Rattus norvegicus: one gene and its partners. The protein of the gene in region 3 interacts with the protein of the main gene of each other region in a biochemical or structural test. Links are inferred from orthologs where the notes say so. Each region holds a gene or a part of one and is shown on either strand. Other genes may lie near its edges. The genes, in order: Isg15, Yod1 and Usp21.

The links.
Region 1: the proteins of Usp21 (region 3) and Isg15 form a complex in vitro, tested with the Homo sapiens proteins (2 studies listed by BioGRID, with this or other methods). The link is inferred for Rattus norvegicus from reciprocal best matches to the Homo sapiens genes USP21 and ISG15.
Region 2: the proteins of Usp21 (region 3) and Yod1 form a complex in vitro, tested with the Homo sapiens proteins (2 studies listed by BioGRID, with this or other methods). The link is inferred for Rattus norvegicus from reciprocal best matches to the Homo sapiens genes USP21 and YOD1.

The regions. Positions count from the first base shown.
Region 1 is NC_086023.1:172,065,652-172,069,507, forward strand, and holds Isg15 (ubiquitin-like protein ISG15), read right to left. Parts: upstream 2,006-3,856; 5' UTR 1,868-2,005; coding exon 1,865-1,867; intron 1,240-1,864; coding exon 757-1,239; 3' UTR 718-756; downstream 1-717.
Region 2 is NC_086031.1:44,725,528-44,730,659, forward strand, and holds the start of Yod1 (ubiquitin thioesterase OTU1), read left to right. Parts: upstream 1-1,791; 5' UTR 1,792-1,937; coding exon 1,938-2,265; intron 2,266-3,071; coding exon 3,072-3,775; 3' UTR 3,776-5,132. UniProt on the Homo sapiens protein: Hydrolase that can remove conjugated ubiquitin from proteins and participates in endoplasmic reticulum-associated degradation (ERAD) for misfolded lumenal proteins.
Region 3 is NC_086031.1:86,234,047-86,238,503, forward strand, and holds the end of Usp21 (ubiquitin carboxyl-terminal hydrolase 21), read right to left. Parts: intron 4,438-4,457; coding exon 4,317-4,437; intron 4,106-4,316; coding exon 3,994-4,105; intron 3,815-3,993; coding exon 3,659-3,814; intron 3,159-3,658; coding exon 3,094-3,158; intron 2,883-3,093; coding exon 2,779-2,882; intron 2,588-2,778; coding exon 2,501-2,587; intron 2,257-2,500; coding exon 2,178-2,256; exon of another isoform or gene 1,972-2,177; coding exon of another isoform or gene 1,965-1,971; coding exon 1,857-1,964; intron 1,771-1,856; coding exon 1,656-1,770; intron 1,443-1,655; coding exon 1,352-1,442; 3' UTR 1,081-1,351; downstream 1-1,080. UniProt on the Homo sapiens protein: Deubiquitinates histone H2A, a specific tag for epigenetic transcriptional repression, thereby acting as a coactivator.

The DNA of each region.
Region 1 (3,856 bases), on a different chromosome or scaffold from region 3:
CCGTTCAAATTCTCTTAAAAGTCTGAAGGGCCATAGAGGTACTTGCCCTGACTTGTTTGTGTCTTAAGCCGACTCAAAGGCTTGTGATAGAGGAAAAGACAAGATAAAGAACCATCAGGCAGGAAGGGGGTGAAGCTTTTTCAAATTGGGTACCTCCTTTCTGAGATCTGATTTCCTTTGTGGACAGATGAGCCCCCAATCCCAGGTGCCCATCTAATCTGCCTAAGGTAGCCTCTTTATAGCCCTGATGAGGTGGACTTGCTAACCACCATGTCCTAAACAGCAGGTGACTGATTTGAGTAGTGAGACCCTGTCCTTCCCTCTGTGGTCTACTGCAACTGGGACTGGGAACACCCATATCAGCCTCCTTCACAGCTTACCCAGATAGGTCCAAGAACATTCCTTCACTGTTTCCAAAGGATCTGAGCAGTTAACTGGTCCTATTAGAAGTCTCATCCTGTTACTGGTAGGAACTGACCTGATGTGTCCCTGAGCCACATGTAGACTTGGGGAAGTTTTTAGATGCTGGCAGAGGCTCAGGACTGGGTCCCAGTAAAAGTATCTTTCTCCAGAAGTGAATTAATCACCCAAAGGGTCCTCACTAGGCTCTAACTGTGAAATCCTTGTCTTTTAACTTGGCAACCCAGAGCCTTGTCACCATGGAAAGAAGGCATTTCTGAATGGGACAAGCAAACAGAAAGCAGAACTTTTTATTGTATTGTCTTTTATTACCTACATTGGCTCTGGATAGGGGCCTTAGAAATAGTAGTCCCCTCCCCCCCTCAGGCGCAAATTCATGATCACTGTGCAGTGGGGTGTTAGGCCATACTCCCCCAGTGGCTCTTTGTCCTCCATGGGCCTTCCGTTGAAGCTCAGCCAGAATTGGTCTTGGGAGACTTGCTCGTGCTGGGACACCTGCCTCATAAGCACTTCCACAGTCTGTGTCAGCTGGACCTCATAGACATTGCTGCGGCCCCTTTCATTCCTCACCAGGATGCTCAGAGGATGGCTGCAGTTCTCTACCATCAGCATGACTGTGCTGCCAGAACTAAGGCCCTGCCTGATAAGGGCAACACCATCCTGTAGCATTTCACCGCTTTGGTGGGCCAGGCGCTGCTGGAAAGCTGGCACACCACTCTTCTGAGCAACCTGCTTCTTCAGTTCTGACAGCATCATGGAGTTTGTCATGGACACCAGGAACTCCTTGCCCCCCAGCATCTTCACCTTTAGGTTCCAGGTCTGCAAGAATTACATGGATTTAGTAGTGGTTCTCAACCTTCCTAATGCTGCGACTCTAATAGAATGCTTCTGTTCTTTAATACAGTTCCTTGAGTTGTGGTGACCCCCAACCATAAAATTATTTTCATTGCTATTTTGTAACTGTGATCTTGCCGTATGCAGGATATCTGCGAGAAGGACCTCCTGTGAGAAGGTCGTTCAGGCCCCCAAAGTGTTCATGACCCATGGGTTGAGAACCACTGGCTTAATAACTTTGGCTGGGAGTTACCACATGCAAAGCACTGGTCGTAGGGCCAGCCCCCATGTCCCACATCCATCTTCTCCTCAGGGAGGACCATCCAGTATTGTATGATACAGAGGCCTCAGTTTTAAAGGGTCAGCCTCCCACAACCATCAGATTGTTTCAGTTCACCCACAAAGATATCCTTCTGGGTCCAGCCCTAAGGGATCTAGGGCTGATAACTGAGCAAAGAACCCAACTCCACCCCCAGCCCCCAAGTGAGCTTTGAGCAACTTTATTCTGTCCCCACACTGAGGCTATTCTGCCTCTGAAAGACCCTATCGAGGAATAGAATAAAGTCAACTAGAATGAAGCCCATCTGCCTCTGCCCCAAATTGGACTCACCATGGCTGTAGGCTTTAGCACTAGGTCCCCTGAAACTAAGGAGTCTGCTTCTCTCTGCTTCTCTCAGCTTCTGGCTGCTGGCTCTCACAGTCAGAGAGAGACTCACTGGGTCAGCTCTCTTAAAGTCTGAGCTGTGGATGTGAAGAGGCGGAGTCTCTGGGCTCCAGAGCTGTTTCTGTTTCGGTTTCCTTTTCCTGAGGCACACCTTAAATGGATGAGAAAAGCAAAACTGAATGAAAAGAAAAGTGTAGTTGGGAAGAAAAGAGACAGGCTCTTAAGGGTCAAGTCTGTAATTTGACGTGTGCCCTAAAACTCCCTAAACTCCCAGCACTTCAGGTCCTGCGTAAGGCATGTAAAAGTCAGAACAGGAACTAATAGTAGAAAACGTATTTGCCATTTGTTAGCTTGGAAATTAGTTATCTTGGAAAAATGTTATAATAATAAAGAAACTACATAACATAGTAACAATCAGAATTACCCAAAGATATTGGTTATTAGTTTAGAACAATAGTTTTCAAAGCATAGGGAGTTGGGGTAGGGGGGGTTGTAGGAAGCATTTCTATCCTGTAATAGTTTATTAAGACCTTATTGTAGCTGGGCAGTGATGCATACCTTTAATCTTAGCCTCGGGGAGGCAGAGGCAGGTGGATGTCTGAGTTCAGGGCCAGCCTGCTCTACAGAGCAAGCACCAGGACTCTGTCTTGAAAAGCTAAGAGAAGAAACAAACAAACAAACAAACACTATTGCTTACGTAAAGATACATTGAGTCAGATGAGTTTGTTTTTTGAAGTAGTCTTGCTATGTAGTCTATGCTGACTTCAAACTCACTTTGAAATTGGCCTTAAACTGGTCCTTCTGTCTCTTCTGCTTAGGTTCTGAGATTTTAGTCATTTTCGGCAGTGCTGGGGATAGAACCCAGAGCTTCGTGAATGCTAAGTAAGTGTTCTAACAATTGAGTTATATACTTAGCACCCAGGTTTTTCTTAAGGTTTAGTTTTAATTATGTTGATATAAGGTATTAGGGGGGCGTTGTGTATATGTGAGTGCAGGTGCCCTTGAAATTTAGAAGGAACTGGGTATATAAATTTTGTTTATCTATTTTGCATATAGGTTCTTGTACATGTAGAGGTCAGAGATTAATGTCGAGTGTTTTCTTCAATCACTTTCCACATAGACATCACTCCAGCCCAATATTTAAAAGAAAATTAAAGAAGTAGGATCTTTTCTTTCTTTCCAATGCCTGTATAACAAAGACAGCCCATTTCACAAGTTAAACCTTAATCATTAGTATGGCAATCATAGAGGGGATGTGGTTCTTGAGGTTTCTTCCCTCTATGTCCCCTGCTTGTCTGATGTCTGCAGGAGGCAGAGGTTCAGGGGATTCCACACAGACTCCTTCATATGGCTCAACATAGGTCCATAGCTGCGAAAATTACAGCCCAGCCTTCTTGTCAACCCCAAGACAGGGACTGACTCTTGTATAGAAGGCATGGGTATGTGTATCTGGGGTGTTGGAATACTACATTTCTAGAATACTCTGGGAGTGCCGTACCTGGCCTCTTGAAAACATCCATCTCTCCGAAAAATCAGTTGTGAAGACTTTGAAACTACTCAGTGGAAGTGGCATTTTCAAGCTGAAGGTGATGGTTCACTCCCTTAGTTCCAGCACTTGGGACGCAGAGGCAGGCAGATCTTTGTGAGTCCAAGGCCAGCCTAGTCTACAGAGTGAGTTCCAGGACAGCCAGGGTTACACAGAGAAACCTTGTCTCAAAAACAAACAAACAAACAAACAAACAAACAGTGCCATTTTCTCTAACCCAACAAGCTAGCCTCTTTCTGTGGCTAACTAAAGCAGATTTGAACCACCAGGAGGGTGTCCAGCCCCTACTGTGCTCTCAGGCCACCTCTATTGAGTGAATACATGGAGGCAGCTGGCAGGCTATGCTGTGCCTAGTAACTAGGGCTTGCAGTGTAACTCAGAATGAAAACAGT
Region 2 (5,132 bases), about 42 Mb from region 3:
AAGCGTGCATGGCTCCCGACAGAGCCAATTCTCTCAGTCCCCACACACCAGCTGCGGCTCAGCGTCCCTGAAGGGCTGCACGCCCAGGAGTGTCACGGGAGCTACCCTTCCCTAAAGCACGAAGCACCGTCGCTCTGCACCTTAACCGCGCCCGCGCAGGACCCCAGCCCCACGTACAGACTGCTCAATTATCGCTCACCCTATGACCTGTCCTATTCGTCCTCCCTGCTGTAGACCCGGTGTCGCCACCGGAGCGCCGGGAAGCAGAGCGAGCAGGCAGACTGAAGAAGTCCGGGCTCCGGGGGTTGGGGGGGGGGGGGGGGGTCACGTGGGGCGCTCGGGCCCGCCCAACCCCGCGTCAGTCCTCACCTGGAGGCACGCTGGACCAATGAAGCACCTGCAGGGCCGGGGGCGGGCTCCTGGGGTCTGGGAGGACCTGTGACAGCTTAAGGCTGTCCGCTCCCAAAACAGCGGACCCAGTAGAGCTTGGTGGCATTGTTGCTTGGAAACAAATCGAGCTGAAGGCGGGGTTAATTAAAAGCCTTACTTTTTTTTTTTTATTCTCGCGAGACCTGTTTGGCTGACATCTTGCGTGGGAGTGACTGGTGAAAAAAAAACGAGGATTAACGCCTTCACCCCAGAATCTCCAGCTAGACTAGGTTCTGGAAGGTAGACGTCGGCTTTTAAAGATGCCTGGCTGGCTACCAGAATGCAAGAGCTAACTCCAATTTCTGGTCAGGATCCTGGAACCTACGGATCCGGGAGCTTCTCATTCACCTTCCAGGTGACTCCAAAGCACGTTCCTTTATTTCCTCGTACAACCCGGGACCCAGGCTATATTATCTGGGGTCATCTTGAAGAACCAAGGAGGAGAGCTGCACCCGCTCCTGGTGTAAGGGTGGAGAGGAACAGATTTGCTACCATTGATTCCCAGTACAGGTTGTTGCAGTGGGGTTTACGTATCCCAGAACTGCTTTTCAAAGCCACGCCCCCAGCATGCCTTTGGTACCCGATGCGAATGACAGTCCACAGTGGGGAGGGGGACTTGCTGCTTTAGCTAAATGATGGGGGGGTCAGGGGAGACCCTAGAGCTGCTTTTATTCATTCCTTCTTTACCTGGGAGTCAAGTCACCTTCCACATAGTCCAAGAATGCGTTTTACAACCCCCAGCGTGTTAAGGCGTGCTATAAACTGTCATTATTCGGCGTTTACTGCACACCTTTTATTATGTTCAAGGCAGTCTCGGGCTCTCGACATACAAAGTTGGAAACTGACCTAGCTATCTGGTTAGGTCTCCCCTTCCCCGTCCGTCTTCTATCTCTGGGCCACGACGAGGACTCCAATCGCATGATGGAGTGTCTTCCTAATTGGATCCGAGGAATCGAACTGGAATCCGGATGACAAGAGTTAGTCCTCTTGAACACTGCCACCACCCGAGTGAGGCAATCGCCCCAGGCAGGGCTGCTGACCTCATACAGTCTTTCTGAGGTGGCAGATGGACGCTTTCAAGTTCGTCTCACGGGACTCCGGTCGTCCCGTCCACTTGGCCTCAATGAATCAGTTCGGTGCAGCCAGGAACTCGTCAGCAGAGTGACTGTTTGGCAGGTCCTTTGACCTTTCTTGGCATTTGTTTACCTTCTCAAGGATGAGTCTGCTTTGCCTGGTGTTTGGGTGGCTGCTTTCATCATTTCCGACCTCCCTGCAAGGTGACATTCTGCTCTGCTAGACTCGGGAACTCCTTCCCCGCCCTCCTCCCTGGAGGATAAATGCTGCCGACGCGAAGGGCGCCTCACCGGAGCGCTCGGGAGAACTGGCCAACCTCCAGCCCTCACCCACGGCTGCCCTTATCACTTTAAGAGCCGGAGTGTATTTGGAAGGGCCGAAGCCAAGTCCCCACCGAGGTGTCGCGAGAAGCGCCCCAGCGGCTACTTCTCGCGATGTTTGGAGGCGCGAAAGGCGGCCATTTTGGGGTCCCCCCCGCTGGTTGTTCCGGCGCTGTCTCCCAGGCTGCGGCTGGGACCAAGGCTGGCCCCGCAGGAGGCCGGCCGGCCGACACTATGTGGCGGCTCCGCTGCAAGGCCAAGGGTGGCACCCACGTTTTGCAGGGTCTTTCCAACCGGACCCGCTTACGGGAACTGCAGGGCCAAATCGCCGCTATCACCGGCATCGCTCCTGGCAGTCAGCGAATCCTCGTCGGCTACCCACCAGAGTGCCTGGATCTCAGCGACCGGGACATCACTCTCGGGGACCTGCCCATCCAGTCAGGTACGGGCACCGGCCGGGGCCGGGGAAGTCTTGGAGGACATTGAGGGGAGAAGAGTAAAGCCAGTAAGGCAAAGTGCTGGTGTGACAGCTAGGGGCTTCGAGAAGGACCAGAACTCCAGGAAGGCCGGGGCAAGTGTCAAGTCCTTTTAACTGTGTTTTAGAGACAAGTCTGGAGTCTTGAAGCTCCCTGTTCCCCAAGCCTGCGTCCAGGTCAATCGTTTTCTCTGCTTTCCCAGAGGACAGCAGGATCCTTTCCCCTGACAGGGTGGTTCTTTTTCCCTATCCTGATCAGCAGGTCAGCAGTTGAGATACGGATTTTTGCCTTAGTTGTCCGTCCCTCGGTTAATTTGTTTTGAGTTTGTTTCGTGTACACTTGGACGTATGAGTTCACTGTAGAATTAACCAACAACAGTTATTTGTTCCCAGTTTTAGAACTTGGACATCAGTGTTGGTCATTAAAAGCTTTGCATGTTGTGTCAAGGCCCCTCGAGCTGTCAAATGGTATAGTCCTGCTAAGTGGACAAACACCCTGGTGACCTACCTAGTCTGTAGAGAACCTCTGAAAGATTTGTTAAGTTTAAATGCAACGCAGAGCATTTTGTTCTCTTCTCCTCTTTCTGAAGACACAGTGAACCAAACACAGACAAACTTAAAAGAGCTAACTGGCTTCTTGTTTACAAAGTTGGGTTCTCCTTGGTAACCCTCTGTATACCTTTAACTCATTTGGTTTCTAATTTACTGAGTTGGCTAATAAATACCCAATCTATAATTTCTCTGCAGTTCTGGATTTGTTTTATTTTTAACAGGTGACATGCTGATTGTTGAAGAAGACCAAACCAGACCAAAAGCTTCACCTGCGTTTTCAAAACATGGTGCTCCTAGTTATGTCAGGGAAACTCTGCCTGTGCTTACCAGAACCGCAGTCCCAGCAGACAACTCTTGCCTCTTTACCAGTGTGTACTATGTAGTTGAAGGAGGAGTCTTGAATCCAGCTTGTGCCCCTGAGATGAGACGCCTCATAGCACAAATTGTAGCCAGTGATCCAGACTTGTATAGTGAGGCAATACTGGGAAAGACAAACGAAGAGTACTGTGATTGGATCAGAAGGGATGATACTTGGGGGGGAGCAATTGAGATATCAATCCTGTCCAAGTTTTATCAATGTGAAATATGTGTAGTAGATACACAGACAGTCAGAATTGATCGTTTTGGGGAAGATGCAGGCTATACCAAAAGGGTTCTACTCATCTACGATGGCATTCACTACGATCCGCTTCAGCGAAACTTCCCTGATCCGGATACCCCTCCTCTGACCATTTTCTCCTCAAATGATGATATTGTTCTCGTACAAGCACTGGAATTAGCTGATGAAGCTAGAAGAAAGAGACAGTTCACTGATGTAAACCGCTTCACCCTGAGATGCATGCTGTGTCAGAAGGGCCTAACCGGACAAGCTGAAGCAAGGGACCATGCCAGGGAGACAGGCCATACCAACTTTGGAGAGGTGTGATCTGTTCCGGAGAATTGGAGCCTACTACCTCACAGATCCAGAAGGCTCTGGGTTTTCCAATAAGCTATTCATAACCCTACAGAATAGAACACAATGCTTGGACCATCCTTTTATCTTAAACCAGTATGACTGACACTGAAATTCCTTGTTAAGATTAAAATCAGTGTGCAAGTTTACAGATGTGTGTCTACACTAGTGGCATGCCCTCTTTCTACCGGGGTGTTGGAATAGGTGGTTTTGGCCGCTTCTGATGCTAACCCGAAGACTGGATTGTATTATAAACCAGCACCCTGCGGCTTTAGCTTATAAAAGAAAACATATTTTAGGTAATATGCAAAGCTTTGTGGAGGACCACTGGACATATACCACAGTGTCTCCAGTAGTTGATTTCTTTTAATATTTGAATGAGTTAGTTGTTTCTAAATTCTGAATTGATTCATCAAATGAAGATACTCAGAATTGTCAAAACTTTTTATATTGCAATTTGGTAGACTTTATAAGTGTCTCTAACTACTTACAAGTACATAAAAAGCAATTTTACAGGGATAAGTATATCCCTTGCGAATGTTATCTAAAACAGGAGTTAATATGGTCCTGTTGAGATTTCTAGTGTATAAAAGTAGAATGTATAAAAGGGGGAAAGGTGCCTGAAGCAGCTTACTGAAGCTTTAAAAGACTGTTGGCCTCGTGTTTTAATGCAATTCATGTATTGGTGTTTGTCACATTAGATAATTTTTTTTAAATGATGCAGGGTATGCCTTTTTAATTGCTAATTTAGCTTAAAATTCAAGAAGTATCTTGAAAACTTGAGAGTTTAGTTCTTTTGCTTTTTTACATATAAATTTTTCTGGAGGGATTTTATTGCCTCAACTGTTTAGCTCAAAGCACTTCTTAACAAACAAGTCTTCCTCTAAAGTGTCAGTGGTATGCTTTGGTTTCCTGAAAATGTTTCCATAGATGACATGAGCTATGAGCTCTTAGATAGTTCACATTTCTGCAAGATAGTACTTTGTTCATCTGGGATCCTTGACTTTCAGTTTTAAATAATTTATTTGGTTTGTTTCACTTCCAAAATATGCATACAAAGTTTTAAAATCCTTGCCTTATACAGCTCTCTTATACAGAGTACTGCTACCTAGTGTCAGCTATGTAGCCATTTGCTTGATGGATTGATCCTCAAGGCACATGCTCTCAAAACTTAGCTTCACTATAGAATCTTCCAGGTAAAGTTTTCTACCTCTAATTCTTCTAAAGATCAGGGATGCTAAGTTATAATTTGTTGTGTATTCTGTCGCACGATGCAAAGAGGCAGACTGTTGTGAAGTTTTGTTATCTTGATCTCATTTATTAAACATCT
Region 3 (4,457 bases):
CGAGTGAGTGATATAGAGGCCCTAGGACCAGTCCATCCTGTCCGTGTGCAGATAAGGCCCACGCCCACGCTATCTCGCCAGGTCAAGCCCTCCACAGGCCAGAACTGCAGCACTCGGTTTTTCCAGCCTCAGCTGGTGACTAGGTTCAACTCTGGTATCCCCGCCCCTAACTTTTACGGTCCCTCCGGCTCTCCGTCGACTCCATTCTGGCGGCCCTCAAGGCTCCGTTTCACTTTCCTGCTTCTGGATTGGTGGGTCCTAGGAAGCGGGTTCTGGATTGGTGGGCTCTGGATACATCCACCAATGAAAACACCATGTTGGCAGTGACGCTACCAGCGGAACTACAGCGGCTTTCAGAGTCAGTTCTGTGCAGGTTAACCTGTTCGTTCCCTAGTCGGATTTAGTTGCAGTAACCAGTACTGCCTTCCCCAGGGACAGGACAGCGAAATGCTGAATCCGGGAGTTAGCATTCCCCTGCTCAAGCTTCCCAGATCTGTGGTGAGAACCCTGGAGGTTGGGAGGGCCCCACGAGCTTTAGTTAGGGAGAAAGAGAGAGACACTTGGAGGCCAGTCCGTGGGGAGAAGGCTCCATAAACAGCTCCTTGATGTTAGCAACAGACAGGGCCTACGGGAGCAAGGGCCGCCCAGCAACGAAATCATGTTTGTCAACAGGGGTTCTTGGGTGCTTTGCCCCCTAGGGGCAGTCCCCTTCACAGGCAAAACCTGGTATGCCAATGCCTGCACTCTAGTTCCAGGCTTTCCCGCAACTTCACAGGTCTCAAGGTTTGTCTTCCTAGTACCACTAAACTGTCAGTGTTTGGGTCCAAGTCTGGAGCCAGCTCAATCCCTGTTCTTTTCCTTCTGTTGTGAGAGCGCCCCCACCTGTTCAGAGACAGAATTGGGTCCCAGAAAGGCTCCAACAGAACCAAAGTTCTAGATATCCATTCCCTCTACCCACAAATACAAACATGAACATTTACTTTTTCTTTTTTTTTTTTTTTTTTTTTTTTTTTTTGGTTCTTTTTTTTTTTTTTCCGGAGCTGGGGACCGAACCCAGGGCCTTGCGCTTCCTACATTTACTTTTTCTTAATAAATTTATTCACAAAAAAGTGAGATTGCAGAGGTTCTGGGGGCTGTACATGGTCAAGGGCCTGGTAATTTCTGTACATGGGACAGGAAAACAAGGTGGAAGGGTACTTCTTAATAAAAAAAATAACGGGAGCTACAACCAACCCTCCTCCCCTCCCCGATTAAAAAGACACAAAAATAGACGTCTGTGAGGTAAGTGGGGAGCCTGGGGGCTTAAGGGTGTTGAGAAGGTTTTCACAGGTGCCAGGGCTTCAAGATGGCGTCACAGGCACCGAGGTGGTTCCTGCATCAATTGGTAGAACAGCACGTAGCCCTCACTGGATGCCACCTGGTTTTCACTGACAGGGGAGACACTGAGAAGAGAGATGGGAAATGGCTGTGGTCATTCCAGAAGATTCCCCCTCTGTCCTAAAGACGCAGTGTAGCGTAGCCAGGTGGCGATCAGGAGAGACCTCCCCCCCCCACCTATCCATGGTCAGGAACTTATCTTTTCAGACCTCACAGGAGGGGGTGGTGCCAGGGCTGCAGTGGGGTGGGGCAGGAGTTGAATAAGAGGCTGTTCTCACCGGGAGTCATTGTAGACATGCCAACCAGTCTGGCACCGGCACAGGGCTGTGTAGTGGCCATAGTGGACACTACCCGAGTGGTTGCAAAGGGCATACAGCTGGTAGACAGGGCTTCCTGCAGGTTAGATAACATCAGTTTCTGCAACTGGGAGTTGTGTCTCCCTCCTGAAGACTCCTTAGGACGTTCCCTGCCAGACTCACCCACTTTGTCGCTGGCAAAGTCCCCTAGGCTTAGTCGCTGCAGTGGGAAGTCTACACCTACTGAACTTTTCTTGATGGAGCCTCGGGAGGTGGAAAATCGGTTCAGATCTAAGCCCTGGTTAAGGAGCATTGGGGAGGCTAAGGGTCTCTAAAAGGGAGACTGCGGAAATAGATTCGGTACCCTCCATTCCCCCAACACGTCCTGAAAAGTGGCAGAGAAAGTTGGGGTGGCAGGTTTTCCCTACGGGAAACTCACTGAAGGTGAGGAAACACTGTATGGGAGATACCCTAAGAGAAATAAGAACTTGAAAAGTAGGATATGGAGCACGAGGATTCGGGGGAATCTTTGTACTGTCAACTTTTTGGTACTTCGTGTTTTCTGCCGACATCGGTCACATACCTACATAAACAGCAAATAGTGTTAGATCAGTGTTCTCACCTAGGTGGTTTTTTCTGACACCCCAACTCACACATAAGTTTAATAGGTGTCTCATTGCTTTGCCCCTCCCCCTTTAACCTAGGCACACACTAGGACATACCCGAGAGCCCCAACATTCACCCAGACATACAGCTGTTCTTCCCAAGTTAAGGAGGCATGCATCTCCTTTCACCCAGGCAGACCCTCCCGCTGAAGTCCCACATACTGGGGCATTCTCCGACTCTAGCTCCTCCTCCTTGGTGAAAAGGCTGAAGCAATCCCGCAAAGACACTTTGCCCCCAGCAAATCCTTTCTAGTGGGAAAGGGGAAGTGAGGGTCAGCATGTTCTGAGTTTCCTTTTTTTTTTTTTTTTAATCTTTTTTTAAATCCAGGCTTTAATTCTGCTTTAGAGACCCACACAGTTCCCACCCACACTTAGGGGTGGGGAGGGGTGGGTCACAGAACCCATGTTCCATCCACCCCTGGAATCTACTGGAATCCCACCTTGGGGATGGGCAGGGACAGGTCACAAAAAACCTCGAAGGTCGTGGAGCGATACCCACAGGCCTGGCACTTGAGGCAACTTTTCAGCTGGCCCACAAACAGGTCTAGGCAGAAGCACAAAGGCAGGAGAAAAAGTCACTATGGGATGGAGGCCTGACGTGCTTTCCTAGAACCCCACCTCTCCCGGTGCCTCTGATCTGCCTTTCTAACTACAGCATGCCACTCAGCTGTACACCGTTTCACAGCCCCAGCATCTGGCCTGGCCCCATGCTTCCTCCTCCCAAGCCTAAACTCCCAGTGTGTGCCACTGCATACCCACAATCTTGCTGTCTTCTCGCTCCAGGTAGCGCTTCCACATTAAGTTGGCTCGGTCATCATCACTACCACAGATTAAGGGGATGGGGACAAATTGTGAGACAGCCGTGTTAATACTGGGCACCCCTAAACCACTGAAATTACCCACAGAACCCTGTTCCCTATTCACATACCAGCGCCTTCCCTAAATTTCTAGTCAAAGGAGTAAGAAATGCTTCTGGGAACTTTCCAGGGAAATCCAAGATGAAAGGGAAAAGGAGATAGATAGATAGATAGATAGATAGATAGATAGATAGATAGATAGAGTCATCTTCCTCTACAAGCTTTTGATATATTTGATTGTAGAAGCCTCTCTTTCCCCAGTTTAATGGCATCCCTGACACTATTTTCTGTTTGCCTATATCTGTACTTCTCAGCTTCCCCCTTTTTCCCTTCCTTCCTTTTTTTTCCTGTGCTAAAGGGTCTCCCCTGGGCCCTACATGTCCAGTTTCGGTTGGCTCAGCTCTGTGAAGACTGAATGCTGACTGAACTACTGAAAAGAGGAACAAAGGGGAACAAACCTTACCTCAGTTCAGGTTCTTCATGCAGAGCCCCTCCTCGGCGAGGTGGGGAGGGAACTGGACCACTGGCCAGAATTGGTGGTGCCCGGCGGCCTCGTCGGTTGATTTCGAGGTGCAACCGCTCCATAAGGAGCTTCAGGAACTCTTGGGCATCCTGCTGGCTATAGCCAGACAGAATATGGACAAGTGATCTATTTGTGGTCCACAAGTATCCCCTGCCCAATCTGGGTCCCTGTTTCCTCTGTAGGAAACCTCAAGGCTCAGAACATGGCTGCTAGAGCCTCTGTTTGGCCCAACCCCAGACACAGCCAGAGAGAAATCCTATTCACTCAGTTCCCACCTGTATCCAGAGAAGGAAGGGACGTATTTCTGGAAGACAGCCCGGAATCGGGTAGGATTCACAGCTTCACAGGAGTCAGGGTGCCAGAGGGCACCAATCACATCTGCAAAGGCTGTTGGTTTGACAGTGGGGAAGGGATTCAAAGTTAATGTCTGGAAGGGCAGGCAGGAAGAGATTCAGTGGCTAGAAAATCTCTAGGAAGAAAGAAACTGGGGGAAATGGATGAATCTGTCAGCTTGAAGGGCTGGGAGCCATGGGTATTGGGAGGAGAGAACCGAAGGGGATGGGGAAGGAGAACAGAAGCATCAGGAGTTGTTGCCCACCTTCTGTGAGTTCCTGGGCTCGGCCTCCTCCGGGCACCTCTTGCCGGAAGTCCCTTCGCAGACAAAAGTCTCGAAGAGGCCTTGTGCTGCTCAAACACTGTAACACGGCGTTCAGGAAGCACTGCAGAAGCAGTAGGAACA